Elephas maximus indicus: one gene and its partner. Each later gene encodes a partner of the first gene's protein in a complex. Links are inferred from orthologs where the notes say so. Each region holds a gene or a part of one and is shown in the gene's direction. Other genes may lie near its edges.

Evidence for each region.
Region 2: the proteins of S1PR1 (region 1) and early activation antigen CD69-like are in contact, whole or in part, in a cryo-EM structure (PDB 8G94), measured with the Homo sapiens proteins. The link is inferred for Elephas maximus indicus from reciprocal best matches to the Homo sapiens genes S1PR1 and CD69. Residues at the interface, in NP_001307659.1 of Homo sapiens: Asn157, Leu160, Phe161, Ile164, Ser165, Trp168, Val169, Leu172, Ile173, Gly176, Ile179, Met180, Gly181; in NP_001772.1 of Homo sapiens: Val41, Ala44, Val45, Val48, Val49, Thr52, Ile53, Ile56, Ile59, Ala60, Val63.

The regions. Positions count from the first base shown.
Region 1 is NC_064821.1:181,276,279-181,284,522, reverse strand, and holds the start of S1PR1 (sphingosine 1-phosphate receptor 1), read left to right. Parts: upstream 1-5,195; 5' UTR 5,196-5,547; intron 5,548-6,529; exon of another isoform or gene 6,530-6,770; intron 6,771-7,165; 5' UTR 7,166-7,330; coding exon 7,331-8,244.
Region 2 is NC_064822.1:66,876,302-66,883,637, reverse strand, and holds the start of early activation antigen CD69-like, read left to right. Parts: upstream 1-3,900; 5' UTR 3,901-4,004; coding exon 4,005-4,068; intron 4,069-7,336. UniProt on the Homo sapiens protein: Transmembrane protein expressed mainly on T-cells resident in mucosa that plays an essential role in immune cell homeostasis.

The DNA.
Region 1 (8,244 bases):
TTCTCTGAATGGACCAAATCAGAGTCTTTAGACTCAAGAGCCCTGGTGGCACAGTTAAGGCACTCGACTGCTAACCGAAATGTTGGCAGTTTGAAACCACTGGCGGCTCCTTGGGAGAGACATGTGGCAGTCTGCTTCCTTAGAGATTTACAGCCTTGGAGGCCCTACGGGGTCACTATGAGTTGGAATTGGCAGTGTTTTTTTTTTTATTAGATGCAGGAGCACCTGGCAGCACTGAGTGTGTGTGTGGGGCTGGGGGAGTAGGGTTGGCGGACCCCCATCTTAGCGATTCAGTGCAAGTCTAACTACTGAATGATGAGGTTTTCCCTCTTTCCCTATTTCTCACACATCTTCCTCCATTCACTTGAAAAATGGTAGAAACCAGAAAAGGGGTTTTTAGAATTCCTCTCTGGTGAAAGGGACCAGCCCAGGAGTCAAGAGCTCCAGATATTGACATTTGGGATCTTCCAACAAAACAGTCCAGCCTAATCACCTAGTACTCCTCCACTGACAAGAGCACCTAAAAACAAATTTTTTTTTTTTAGTGTTTGGTGCCTCTGTCTGAAATATGAAATGGACAGCCAAAGATCTTCTGACAATTGGGAAGGTCTGACACAAACACCCGAGACCAAACAAACAGGAAAATGAGACAAGGAAGAAAAAAGGAGAAAATGTCACCACTGACAATAATAAAAAATAGAAAATAGCACCGTTCTAATATCCTCAGAGGTAAGTGAAAATACAGCAACACGGTTCTATAGAAAGGGAACATTCAGAACAGAAAAAGAGAACATTTGGAAATTAAAGGTAGGAGAGAGAGCAGAGATGGAAATATTAACTGAAGATTTAAAAGGGTTGAACAAAAACATAAAGATTTAGGAAATCAAAAATAAAATACAAGAAAATGAAAGAATCATCCCAGATGATCCGTAATCTGAATAGTGGGAGTTCTAAGTACAGAGAATAGAGAAAATAGAGAAGACCAAGCTGTCAAAGGAATAATTTCAGATAATTTCCCAGAACTGTAAAGGGCTTCTTATATGTTCAGGAGAAACTTGGAAAATCAAGGCATATCATTGCACAATTTTGGAACACTGACAAGAAAGTGAAGATTCTATAAACATCTACAAACAAAAACAAAAAAAAACCCCAGTGCCTAGAGAAGAAAAAAGTCATATGTGAAGTTTTGGAATTAGAATAGCCTTGAACTTTATGTTAGTAGCATTAGAAGTTAAAACATTAGGGAATAATGCCTTTAAAATTCCTAGGAAAAATTATTTATAACCTGTAAATCTATGTTGTTGTTGGTAGGTGCCGTCAGTTTGGTTCTGACTCATATAAACCTTATGAACAACAGAACGAAACACTGCCCAATCCTGTGCCATCCTCACAATCACTGTTTCGCTTGAGCTCATGGCTCTGGCCACTGTGTCAATTCATCTTATGGAGAGCCTTCCTCTTTTTTGATGACCCTCTTTATTTTACCAAGCATGACGTTCTTTTCCAGGAACTCATCCCTCCTGATAACATGTCTGAAGTATGTGAGACATAGTCTTGCCATCCTTGCTTCTAAGGAGCATTCTAACTGTACTTCTTCCAAGACAGATTTGTTCGGTCTTTTGGCAGTCCATGGTACGTTCAATATTCTTCTCCAACACCACAATGCAAAGGCGTCAATTCTTCTTTGGTCTTCCCTATTTGTTGTCCAGCTTTTGCGCGCATATGAGGTGATTGAAAACACCATGGCTTGGGTCAGGTGCACCTTAGTCTTCAAAGTGACATCTTGCCTTTTTAACACTTTAAAGAGGCCTTTTGCAGCAGATTTGCCCAGTGCAACCTGTCTTTTGATTTCTTAATTGCTGCTTCCATAGGTGTTGATTGTGGATCCGAGTAAAATGAAATAAATATATACTTAGCCAAAATATTAGTCAAGTGTAAGTATAAAATTTTTAAAATATCTTACATGCAAGTATTTAGAAAGTTTATACCACAAGTGTGTTTCTTAAGGGTAAGTAAATATTCCTTCAGCTTGGGCAGAGAATCTATAGATAGTGTCTAAAATTGATAATCAGGAAAGAGAGGTGTTAACATGGGATTTAGAGATTTGAAAGTAACCACCAGAAGAAACACCAAAAAGTCTTAAAAGCGATTGGGAGAAACCTCTGAAGACATAATAATTTTCTACGATAATAGCGCCCCCCCCTTATCTGCAGGGAATACATTCTAAGACCCCCAGTGGATGCCTGAAACCACGGATAGTATCGAACCCTGCATATGCTATGTTTTTTCCTAAACATACATACCCATGATAAAGTTTAATTTATAAATAGTAAAATGCATAGTAAGAACTTAGCAACAATAATTAATAATAAAATAGAAGCACTTTATGGCTTTTCTTTGGCATATCCGAATTGCCAGCATCACTACTCCTGCATTTTGGGGCCATTATTAAGTAAGATAAGGGTTACTTGAACACAAGCACTTTGGAACATGGTTGTCTGTGGGTAACTGAAACTGTGGAAAGTGAAATCTTGGAAAAGGGGGACTACTATATTTGATTTTTGTTTTTTTAACCATGGGCATGTGTTATTTTGGGGAAAAAATTTTGAAAATCAAAAAGAGAAGTGAATGGAAAGATGCAAAGTGAGATAATGAAAGTAATGAGTGTAATAGAGTTAGAAATAGAAATGAGACCCTGCATAGCACAAAAGGTTAAGTACTCAACTACTACAACTGAAAGGTTGGCGATTTGAACCCACTCAGAGGTGCCTTGGAAGACACATCTGGTTATCTGCTTCTGAAAAGTCACAGCCTTGAAAACTCTACAAAGCAGTTCTACTCTGCACACATGGGGTCTCCAAGAGTCAGAGCTGACTCAATGGCAAGTAACAACAACAACAGAGATAGAGGTGGTGGGAGGGTACGACGCTTACTCTGTACTGTAATGGACACTTTGTATGTATGAAACTCTTTAATGTTCACAATGACTGAGAGAGAGAAATATCATCACATCTTTTTAGAGACGAGGAAATTGAGGGTCAAGGAAGTGAAAGGAATTTGCTCAAAGTCATACAGCTAGGAACTATCAGTGTTAAGCCTGAACTGAAGCTTGTCTGGTTCCGAAGCTGGATCATGTTGCGCTACACTATTTGGGATGTTGGCAAACAAGAGAAGTGAGAGACAAGGAACCAATTTTGTGGAGGAAGACAGTGAGTTTTAGTAGAGGAGACACATAAACATTCAGGTAAGCTGAAGATAATGCCATCAGAGGTCAAACATTGATAGAACAAGAGAGAAGGAATAATTGAGCTTGGGCATAGAAAGTTTGGGGGAAGTGGCATGATGATAAGAGGCAAGAGTTTGCCTTGGGAAAGAGGAAAGCCGCTTTTACTTCTGAAACTGGACAATTGAGCTGGGAGCCATGACATGGCAGTATTGAAGTTCTGGAACCCAGTTTTACCCGTAACTAGCTGGGAGAGCTGCAAGTCATTTTAGCTGTCTGAGTGACACTTCCCTCATCAACAAAGTGGCCAGTAATGTTTGTTTCAAAGGGCTAACTAAACCAGTTGTTACCATTGAGCGGATTCTGACTCATAGCAACCCTATAGGTCAGAGTAGAACTGCCCAATAGAATTTTCAAGGATCAGCAGTTGGATTTAAACTGCTGACCTTTTGGTTAGCAGCCAAACTCTTAACCACTGTGCCACCAGGGCTCTGCTTTGAGGTGCAGTAATGTTAAATTAGATAATCTCTCACAGTGCCTGATACAGTCTGAGAGTGCAGGTCACTTTAATACCTTAGCCTTTAAACAATGAATAAATTAGTGTGTGTGTGTGGCGGCGGGGGGGGGGGGGGGCGGTGGTTTCCAGGTGCCCACTTTATGTTGTTTTGTGTAGGCACAACAAGCTTCTCCCTTTAAATGAACGAAGTCCTCAAACCCCTAGGGCCACTCATCATATTCTGGAGTCTAGAAGACCATAACCTTAGTTTCTGTGTAGTACATATGCATAATACTGTCGTTGAATTTGTGGCTATATATATGCTGAGTGTGAAATCCTTGATGAGGGCTTTAAGGCAGCTGTGATTAACCGTCACTTAATTTTTTTTGCAAACTCATAAGATCTAAGAAGCCAGGGGTCTGTTGTTTATTCATTCAGCATCCTTCTGAGTCATTCAGGTACAGGGTGTGTCATCCTTGAAACTGCACAGGGAGGAGGTTTTGCATTCACATCTGTCGGGAAGGGCGAGCAGGGACTGGGTGGAAACAGCCTGTAGCAGTACGGCAGGGGCAGAAGTGTCTTGCCATTACCACTCAGGTGAATTTGACCAAGGGCGCCTCTCAGCCTCAAGTTCTGAAGTAGCATATCAGCGAAAGGAAGGGGTGGGGGAGCATCAAGTTTGGGTGGTCTCTGAAGTCACCTCCCGGGTAGCAAGGGGGAGAAGGGCGCGGACATCCAATTGGGCATCTTCAGGCGCCGGATGGGCCGGGCAGCTCTACCCCTTTGGAAATTCCTCAGCTGCCCAAGTCACCGGCTCTTTAAATCTCCCAGAAACCGGCAGCAACCCCCCTTCTCAAGGGCCTCACCAGTGACCAGAATCCCGGACACAGGGTCTGACTTTGTGTCAGACTGAATTGAGTGAGGGGAGCCCCCGCCCCAATACCCCAGTACCCATTTGACTGTGTGCCCCGCGAAAGCCACTTTCTGCCCATCCGACCGCAAGTTTCCGGGCAGCGCGGGGACTGGAGGTTGGGGGTGGAGGAAACTTTCTGCCCCTTCTCCCTCCGGGGTTACTGGCCTCCTTCATCTCTCTAGCAGCCCCTTCCCAGCCTCTCTGGGCTTATTGGGCGAGTGCTCGGGTTTCTCCTCCTCGCGCAGAGGCGCCCTCGGGGGCGCCGGGTTTTCATCTTTGGTCTCGTATCCCCTGAGGGCCGAGGGGATGGGGGACAAGGGAGGTACGCTGGGAGACACCGGATCGTCCTCGGCACTCTAAGACTTCCCGGGAGAAAAGTTTCCAAAGGCTCTTCACCTCCTCCCTTTTCCAAAGCTGGAGAGAAGCCTCTCCACCGCCCGGGAGCGCCCGATGGCGGGACAAGGGCGGTGATTTATACATTAGAATCCAGGGGGCACCAGGCTCCGCCCCTTTTGGTTTTTTTTCTTTTTTTTATCTCGGTTGCCGGAGGGGGAGGAGGAGTTCTTTTTTTTTTTTGTTACTTCTGCCCCAGATCTTTCCTGGACAGTGTCTCAGCAGCCGAGCTCCGGAGGGCCCCAGCTACTGGCGGAGGGCGTGGGGGGCTGAGGCTTTAACCCCTCCCGGTGCCTTCGGAAAGAAGCCACCCAGTCTGGGCGCGGCGCTCGGCCGCCTGGCCTCGCTGGCCAGCACGGGCCGCAGGAGTGGGGCTGGCCATTGGAGTGCGAGGCTGCGGAGGGAGGGGACCCCGGCTCCAGTAAGTTGGCCAGAGCTCGACGCAGTCGGCGGCAGCAAGATGCCGAGCGCGCAGGGCAGACCCGGAGCTCTCCGAACGCAACTCCGTCCTGCCTGAGCCAGGTAGGGGGCTGCGAGCCGTGCGCCCGGGGCGCGGGCAGGCTGGGCGCGGGGAGCGCTTCGGAATCAGAAGGGCATTTTAAGATGGAACGAAGCCAAACAAAAACTTTGAAACCCTACGTCTTTGGGAGCTGAAAACGTGTATCCCTGGCTACTAAGGAGCCCCACCCGATCAGATTGTTCTTGGGACTTTTGGGGATTTATGGAGTTTGAAGAAGGGTTAAGTTCCAGTGGTAGAGCCGACTGGGACTGAGAGGTGGAAGCTACGGTTGGTCGGAGAAGAGGGAGTTAGTTTTGGAAATCCTATAGACAAAGAATATTGGCGGGGGGTTGCGGGGGATGGCTTTAAACTTGCACTGCCCGCGAGCAGGGTGCTGAATTCGATGGGGGAAATGCAGAGCTTCTTGGCGCGAGAAGTCTTTGCTGTCCCAGGAATTGCTGCGGTTGTTCTCGCCTCTGTTAACGGCCCTTTTATCACCATTGCCGCGTGACCTTGAAACATTTAAGCAGCTTAATAGTAGAGTTCTGTTAAAAAAAAGTGCTGTGTTTCGTTACCTCCACACTTTCTAGTTCTGTGAGAAGAGGCGACGTGTTGAGGGAGAACAGTCCCTACAGCTACCCATGCTTGCTTAGCCGTGCACCGGACGTACGTTTTTGTGAGTTTCTGGGGAGTAGTTATGCCCTCAAATCAGGAATGTGGAGGCCGGTATTTTTGTCGTTAGTAGTATAACTTCTCTCTTTTGTGTGTGTCTGTGTTTGTGTGTGTGTGTGTGTTATTTTGACCGTGCCCACGATAACTAAAAGTACCCCTTATGCAATCACTTAATATTTGGAACTTCTGGGATGGATTGCAGTCTCTTTCTTATGAATGGTTTCCACTGAGTTCTTTTAAAGTCACTTGCACTAGCTTGCGAAAAAAAGAGAGAATAGGCAGTTGCTTCTCGGAGGCACTGAGCTTTCCTGTTTACCCAAGGCCAGGCAGGGCTTGGCTGCCCACACCTCACTGCGTCCTCGGACCCAGGGCGGTGAGCAGACCCTGCACACCTGCTCCTAGAGAGTTATTAATAGAGCCCAAAGAATGACTTACGCCGTCAAATGATTTTCGTGCATGGCAATTAGGAGGTGGTGCTCCTCTCTTTTAGCTGAAGGAAGGGAAGGCAGAGGTGTGCGTCTCCGCCGTCAGATTCGCGGTTAGGTCTCTTCCGAGGAAAGACCATGAGCTGGCGGTGAGTGCATAGCTAAGCCAGGGGATTTTTCAGAAAATCTTCGGGCTGGAAATTAGGGAGCGACGGGGCGGAGTGGAGTTAGAATGGGGCGTGCTTCTCCAGATTTCCCTTTTCCTTTTGAGTGGATGCGACCGACCAAAGGGAGAATCTGCGTCTTGTCCAGTTGACGTTTACAGCTGGGGTTAATTTTTGTTTTTTTTCTCTCTCTCTCCCTTTTCCATTTTTTTGCAAGAAGCGAAAATTTGATTTTTTTTTTAATTCCATTCCCTGCACTCTCCCTGAGTTTCTTTAAAACAAATCAACTAACTATTGGCGCAACGTTTTAGCTAGAGTGAATTATGCCAGTGTGATGTGGCTTTTTTTCCTGACTTTCTCCTCTTTGTGATTTGTTTAAGGCTGCGGTTTCCGAGGCCCCCTCAAGCCAAGGAAAAGCAACACAAAAAGCCTGGATCTCTCCCACTGAATCCCCGGGGCAGCCAGTGACGGCTCTCTCCACCTGCCCTCTAGCGGCGGCTGGGAGACTTGCCACCCCAGGGTTCCTGTGGACACAGCGCGGCACCATGGGGTCCGCCAGCATCCAGCACCGCTCCGACTATGTCAACCATGACATCATCATCCTGCATTACAACTACACCGGAAAGCTGAATATCAGCGCCGACAAGGACAATGGCATTAAACTGACCTCGGTGGTGTTCATCCTCATCTGTTGCTTTATCATCTTGGAGAATATCTTCGTCTTGCTGACAATTTGGAAAACCAAGAAGTTCCACCGACCCATGTACTATTTTATTGGTAACCTGGCTCTCTCAGACCTGTTGGCAGGAGTGGCTTATGTAGCCAATCTGCTCTTGTCTGGGGCCACCACCTACAAGCTCATCCCCGTCCAGTGGTTTTTGCGGGAAGGGAGCATGTTCGTGGCCCTGTCTGCCTCTGTGTTCAGCTTGCTAGCCATTGCCATTGAGCGCTACATCACCATGCTGAAGATGAAACTCCACAATGGCAGCAACAGCTTTCGCTCCTTCCTGCTCATCAGTGCCTGTTGGGTCATCTCTGTCATCCTGGGCAGCCTGCCCATCATGGGCTGGAATTGCATCGGCATGCTGCCCAGCTGCTCCACGGTGCTGCCGCTCTACCACAAGCACTATATCCTCTTTTGCACCACGGTCTTCACTCTGCTCCTGCTCTCCATCGTCATCCTATACTGCAGGATCTACTCCTTAGTTAGGACTCGTAGCCGCCGTCTGACCTTTCGCAAGAATATTTCCAAGGCCACCCGCAGCTCTGAGAAGTCACTGGCGCTGCTCAAGACGGTGATTATCGTCCTGAGCGTCTTCATTGCCTGTTGGGCGCCCCTCTTCATCCTGCTCCTGCTAGACGTGGGCTGCAAGGTGAAGACCTGCGACATCCTCTTCCGAGCTGAGTACTTCCTGGTGTTGGCTGTGCTCAATTCTGGCACCAATCCCATCATTTACAC
Region 2 (7,336 bases), on another chromosome or scaffold:
AGGCAGGCATGTCCCTGTGCTTAAACCCTTTACCTTCTACTACTGGGAAATAGTAAATAATAATGACAAAAAGCTTACAAATAAGTGAACAATAAAATTTCAGTTAGTGATATGCCCTATGAAGTAAAAGAGAGTGAGGTAATAGATAGTGACTAACTGAAGCTATGGAAACCCTGGTGGCACAGTGGTTAAGAACTGCAGCTGCTAACCAAAAGGTCAGCAGTTTGAATCCACCAGGCACTCCTTGGAAATGTCTATGGGGCAGTTCTACTCTGTTCTATAGGGTCGCTATGAGTTGGAATTGACTCGATGGCAATGGTTTTTTTTTTTTTTAAACTGGAACTAATTTAGACAGGTAGCTAGGGAAGGTCCTGTTGAGGAGGTAAAATGCAAGGTTAAATATAAATGAGAAGAGTCAGCCATGAGAAATCTGAGAGCAGAGGGTAAAAATGCAAGAACACACCTTATAAAACGAAAATGAGTTTGGCTTCTTCAAGGAACAGAACTATGGCCAGTGAAGACCCTGAGTGGTGCAAACAGTTAAGCACTCAGCTACTGACTGAAAAGTCGGTGGTTTGAACCTGCCCAGAGGTGTCTCAAGATAAAGGCCTGGTGATCTGCTTCTGAATGGCCACTGCCATGGAAAACCCTATGGAACACAGTTCTACTCTGTGTACATGGGGGCCACCATGAATTGAAATCGACATGATGGCAACTGGTTTGGTTTTTGGTTTGATGGCTGACCTATAGGGAACAAAAGAGAAACTGCTGGAGATGATCATCTGTCTGGCTGTAAATGCTGTTTTTTTCGTTTTTATTTTCCATAAAGCCAATCTGCCTAACTGTTCTGGAATATTCAAACTTCAAGGATAGTTAGTGTCCAGCTAAGGATATCAGATTTCTATGTTTATATATGAATCGCCAGAGAAGAAAATGTATATTAGTAATGGTATAACTGGGCCATGATTTCTATGTTAGTTCAATCAACTGTAGCAAAGTCCTTCTTTGCACCTGGAAAAGATTCATCGAAAGATTATCAGTATGTTCAAGGATATTTTCTTTCTCTCTATTTATATCCCATCAACTTGGAAGAGTTTAAATAATGTTGCAGATTTATAACAGTGATATTATCTCATACATTCTTCACAACACCGTGGATATGGAACAGTCTGGACTTTAACTCAAATCTCCTAACTATAAGAGAATAAATAAACATTTAAAAGATGAAGTCCCTTTAACCCAAAGAAATTAACGAAAATGTTAACAATAGATCCTGCTATTTCTTTTTAAGTACCAAACTTAACTCCTTCTTCATCATTCATCAGTAGCATCCAAGTGCACATTTGCTATCTTGTGACAGTCTAGGGCCGTATATTTCTCAATCCTAAAATTCCATAAGCCTCCCTAAGTAGCTCTCTATATTTTGGAACCTTTATAATTTTCATACGAAATTTTTATTCATTCATTCATTCATTCACTAAATAAGTATGTGTTGAGTATATACTGTTGTTGTTAGGTGCTGTCAAGTTGATTCCAACTTATAATGACCCTATGTATAACAGAATGAAACCACGCCCAATCCTGCACCATCCTCACAAACAGTAGGTATGTTTGAGCCCATTGTTGAAGGCACTGTGTCAGTCCAGCTTGTTTAGTGTCTTCTTCTTTTTCACAGACCCTCTACTTTACCAAGCATGATGTCCAGTTACTGTGCCAGAGGTTACAGACACAGAAGAGACAAATCTGACAATATCCTTACCCCCAAGTAGCTTATATCCTAGTAAGGAAAGTAGACGATAATGATATGATGCCAGATATTGACAGATGTTATAGAGAAAGATAAAGGTGGGTAGAGCGTTAGCTTTGGTTTAGATTTGATGGCAAGTAAAGATCCCTTTGGGCAGGTGACTGAATTAACGGAGTGAGTAACACATGAAGATAGTTGGAGGAAGAATCTTCTAGGAAATGTGCAAAGCCCCTGTAGTAGTAGGAGTGTGCCTGCCATTTTTGTGGAACGGCAAAGAAGTTACTGTTGGAGTGGGCAGTGACTAGTGGGGAGAATTGTAGAAGAGATAGCCAGGTGCCAGAACTTGTATAAAGCGTTTTGAACTATGATACGGTCTTTGGATTTAATGGAGCTGTGGTGGTGCAGTGGTTAAGAGCTCAGTTGCTAACCAAAAGTCAGTGGTTCAAATCCACCAGCCACTTCATGAGAACCCTATGGGGCAGTTCTACTCTGTCCTATAGTGTCACTATAAATCGGAATCAACTTGACAGCAACAGATTTGTTTGTTTATTTTGATTTTGGATTTAATGGTAATTTTGATAGGAATCCATTGAGAGTAGGCAGGGAGAAGAATTCAAAACCTTAACAAAATTATACGACTTAATGATAAAACAAGCCCTCTAGCTGCTATGTAGAAAACATACAAGAAAATTAAATGAAAAATTGAGTGGAAGCAAAGAGGCCCTTTAGAACCAACATGTGCCTCTTTGTGCCTTAGGCAGACCAACACATGATGACCTAACTAACCTCCCTCCCGAAAAAAATCAAACCCATTACCATTGAGTCGATTTCCACTCATAGCGACCCTATGGGACAGAGTAGAACTGCCACATAGAGCTTTCACGGAACGTCTGGTGGATTCAAATTGCTGACCTTTTGGTTAGCAGCCAAGCTCTTAACCACTGTGCCACCAGGGATCCAACTAACACACCAAAAAAAAAAAAATGAACCCGTTGCCATGGAGTCAATTCTGACTCAGAGAGACTCCAGAAGTCTAACATTTTCACCAAGGCTTTTTTCTGAAAACAAAATCTCTTTAGTCTAAAAAAACTGATATTAATGATGAAATAAATTTTAGGCACAAAGATTATTAACCAGAGTGGTACTTTGAGTCTCTTTCCCCCATTAAGTCAGCATTTATAGATATTCTTCATTCATTTTGCATTGACCTTACTAATTTTCCTGGATGAATTTCATAACACAGCAATGTCTCGTTTTTATAGAAATTATACTCCAAACATCTGGAGCCTCAAAAGGTATGTGAACAGAATAACCTAGAATCTATGCAGAAAATTAAAAAAATAAGTTATTACCAAGATGAAATAGAGGAAGTCTAAATAACAGTAAAATTTAACAAGAAAATGAAGCAGATAATTTAAACGATTTCAGAACACAGCGAGGAAGTTGTAGCCACAAACTTTCTATTTCCTGCGTTAAAGTAACTACTTACCAAATAATATTCATAAACTGGTGAAATGAAAGAACTAGTCCCCAGGGAATAAGTGAATGACACACTTCTGAAAGTTCATCATAGCTTCCTAAGTAAAATTCTTCCAGAATGAATAGGGGGATCCATGAGAATAGAGCCTTATCATACTTACTCAATGATGAATCCTTAGAGCCCAAACAGTGTCAAGCACATAGTGGATGTTTAAAAACTACCAGTTGTTAAGTGATGAGTGAGATTTCAGGCACTCATTATACACTCCTTCCCCCAAATATTTTCATCTCAAAGATAGGAATCTTGAAAAAAAATAGCAAAAATTAATACCTAGGATGATACACGCAGAATTGAACTTTATAATCAAAGGAGTCTGATTTACATTCCTAATTTTTAGTTCTTTACTTAGATTATGCTGCCTCCTAAACTCTTTGCTTTTACTCCAAATTTAAGGACAAGTACCTGGGTTTCTGGGAAAATCCCATTTGCCCCTCATGCTACACCTGCAATTGTGAGAAAGCACATTTCAGACAGCAGGGAAAGCCCATACCTCACCACAACAACATGCCGTAAACTGGCCCACTGGAGCGTAAGTTAAAGAGAACTGGCGTAATCGTTGAGCCAGTAGGAAGTAAGAGGAAAGGGGCGGAGACAGCATAAGGGAATATAAATGCTAAGATGATCCAAAGATCCAGACTGAAGAAGAGCTCCAGCAAAGACTTTCTCTGCAGATTGATTTAACCCAAGATTAACCAGGGAAACTTGAGCAGGTTGGAGATGAGCTCAGAAGATCATTCTACAACAGAGAACAGCTCCATGCATCTGGAGACAGGAAGACAAAGTAAGTCAGATCTAATTTCTTATATATTGATAATACATATAATATATAATGGTACATAGTTGGGGGGAAATGAGGCTTTGCCTTCTGGAGAACTTACCTTCTATTTCAGTCAGAATAGAAGAGAAAATGGGAAGAGGTAAATACTTCGGAGCTATGAGAAGATAGGATAGCTGAGAGTTGAGAGAAACCCACAACGGTGAATTTCAGAACCTGAAGGACCTTTTTCTTTATTTTAGTTTACATCATCTCAATTTTTTAGAAAACTAAAATTCCCTAGTCCAGTACTCTCTCTATCATTTTGCCATAGCCACCTATGCCCACTCCAGGGAGCACTCCCACTTCTTGTGGAAAATTCTATTTCCCACATAAGCAAATACATCTTTGATTGTCCTCCCTGTACCCTTTGAATGCTTTCTGTGTGCTTCAGCCCATGTTCTCATGACAGTATCCTCCAGTTATTGGAAATGTGCAGGTTTCCAACCTTTGAGAGAATAGCTCTAAAAAATATCTGAACACTCACAGTGCCCCAGTGGTAATTTATTAGGAGAATGTCATGAAAGAATTCTTAGGAATGCAATCTTCCGCTTCACTATTCTTTAGGGCCCTCTTTCCCTCCATTTCATCCTTCTGTTTCTCCCTCCCAAACACTGGCTTCAAATTCTGCATGAATCAGACATGTTCGTCATTTTCTTTATTTTTAATTAAAATCTGATCATCTTAGCTATATACCTTTTCTTCTCTTCTATCCATTGATTCTGTCAACATATCTCTTTCATAATTGAGTTTTTTTTCCTTAGCTTCTCTATACCTTTTTGCCATGAGGCTTTCTCAATTTTTTTCTTTTTTTAATCCCTCTTCTTCCCTAATAAATGAGGTGCCCAAAAAACTAGCACTGAAGAACTAGGGTTTACTTATAAGCAGGAGATATCTAGAAATAAAAGGGGTGTTAGAAAAAACAGACACAGAACAATGTAGAGAAAGGGATTGTTTTATGAGTGTGTGTCTATGAGACTGGTTTATCGTACAAGAGCATCAATGACTTCTGATAAACCTGTCTTTTGCCTAAGAATATAAATCCAAGCTTGGGCAACAAGGGCAAGGCATTAGATTTTTTTTAGACAATCAGATGAACAGTAACTTTACAGCTCAGTTGAACTGCCAAAAAGAAAAAAAAAAAATGATAACAATGAAACTATTAAATAATTAAAAAAGACCCAGTGCCGTCAAGTGGATTCCGACTCATAGCGACTTTTCAATTATGCTCTCTACTTATTATTCAATAAATAGAGAGCATAATTGAAAAATGTATCTACTGCAGGAATTTTTTAATTTCCTGAAATTAAGCAAATTTTTTGTTGAATTATTAGTTTACACTGCTCTTGTAGTTGCTTTTACTAGTATGAGCAACCCTTGGACACCATTCTTAGGTGATTCAGCAAGAAATAGGTGGATTTATTTTCAACTTCTCCATTAATGAATAGGACCCGGAATCGGAGAGGAAGCTTGCTGTCAGATGTTTTGTCACCCAGGTGATAAACCAAAGTGTGGGTAACAATAAAAACCAAACCAAACCAGTTACTGTCAAGTCAATTCTGACACATAGCAGCCCCATGTGTTACAGAGTAGAACTGTGCTGCACAGGCTTTTCAATGGCTGCGATCTTTCAGAAATAGATCACCAGACCTTTCATCTAGGGTGCCTCTGGGCAGATTTGAACAACCAACCTTTTGATTAGCAGCCAAGCACTTAGCTCTTTGTGCCACCCACTAACGAATATAAAGTGCCATCCTAAGAGTCATTTCTTACGCACTGGGTGAGCTGATGGGTTGAGTTAGATTCTGAAGGGCATGAATATTTGGCTGAGTGAGTACTTCCTAAGGAAATAGAGTTGTTGCTGTACGAAGTTCAAGCAGCATGAGTGACTCTCACATGGTAAGAAGTGAAACTAGACAGAGCTCTGACTTGCTACCCTATCAATGGCTGCTTCCGGTGATAGAACTAGATACGGTGAAGTAAAGTTGTCTCTTATAAAATCTGGATGCGGAACTATGCTTGGAAATAGAAACCCCAGAAGACACAAAAGTTGATCCTGACACCGAGTATATGATAATTTAATATGAGGGAGAGTAATACCTCTTAGCCCAGTTCAACTTTAAATAAATGTTTTAAGGAAACAAAATTCACGGATTTCAAGATGTATCATATATAGACATGCCTTTTAGTTATAACAGTCATCCATTTTGAGAACAGGGATGTTTTTGCATTTGCAGACTATTTTCATGGTCAGTTATAATGTTATTCAAGTAATATATTTCAGTTTTGAGAACATAATAGGGGATTACATTTTTCTTGTGAGGTCGGATTTTGTTTTAAAATCCTGATAGCTCATCCTTGCATATATCAAATTCAAAATATGTTACAAAATTATCCTCTCTCCTTTCTCAGTCATTTGCTTATATTTTAGAATAGATATCTTTCTTTTTTTATCTTTCTAGTTTTTTTGTAACTAAGAAACATAATTAAGATCATGTTCATATTCCACATTCTTCCAGAGAAATTTTTCTTAGTGGTGAAAGAAAACTTTGACTTTGTTTCACCATTACAGACCCAATATTTAGTCTATAAAACTGTTTTCTCTATTATTTTAACTTTTTTTAGGAAATTCATATATTTTAATGTTCATTCACAAATTTTAATTGAATTATAGTTTAATTTCAAAAAGGTGTATTTTACATACAATGAATGCACAAATCATAAGAGCACAGTTTAATGAATCATGGCAATGTATAACTATGACTCCAGTTAGCATGTGTAATATTCCCATCACCAAGGAATGTTCCCTTGTGCCCCTGCCTTTCTGGTTAAATAGGCCTTCCCACATACATAAAGGTAATCATTTTTCTGATTTTTATCAGCATAGCTTAGTTTTGCCTATCCGTTAACTTCATGTAAATGAAATTATAAAGTATATAGTCTTTTGTGACTAGATTTTTTTTAATTCATGTTGTGTATATCCGTTGTTCATCTTCCCCTTATTTTCTTAATTGCTAAGTAGAAGTCACTTGTATGGATATACCTTAATTTGTTTATCCAGTCTCCCAAGGATGGATAATTGGATTATTTCTGTTATTGGGCTCTTACAGATAAAGCTGCCATGAACATTTTTGTATAAGACTTTTTGCAGACATGCTTTCATGTCTCTTGGGGAAATTCACAAGAGTAGTACTATAGGATCCTAGGAGAGGTGTACATTTAATTTCAAAGGAAA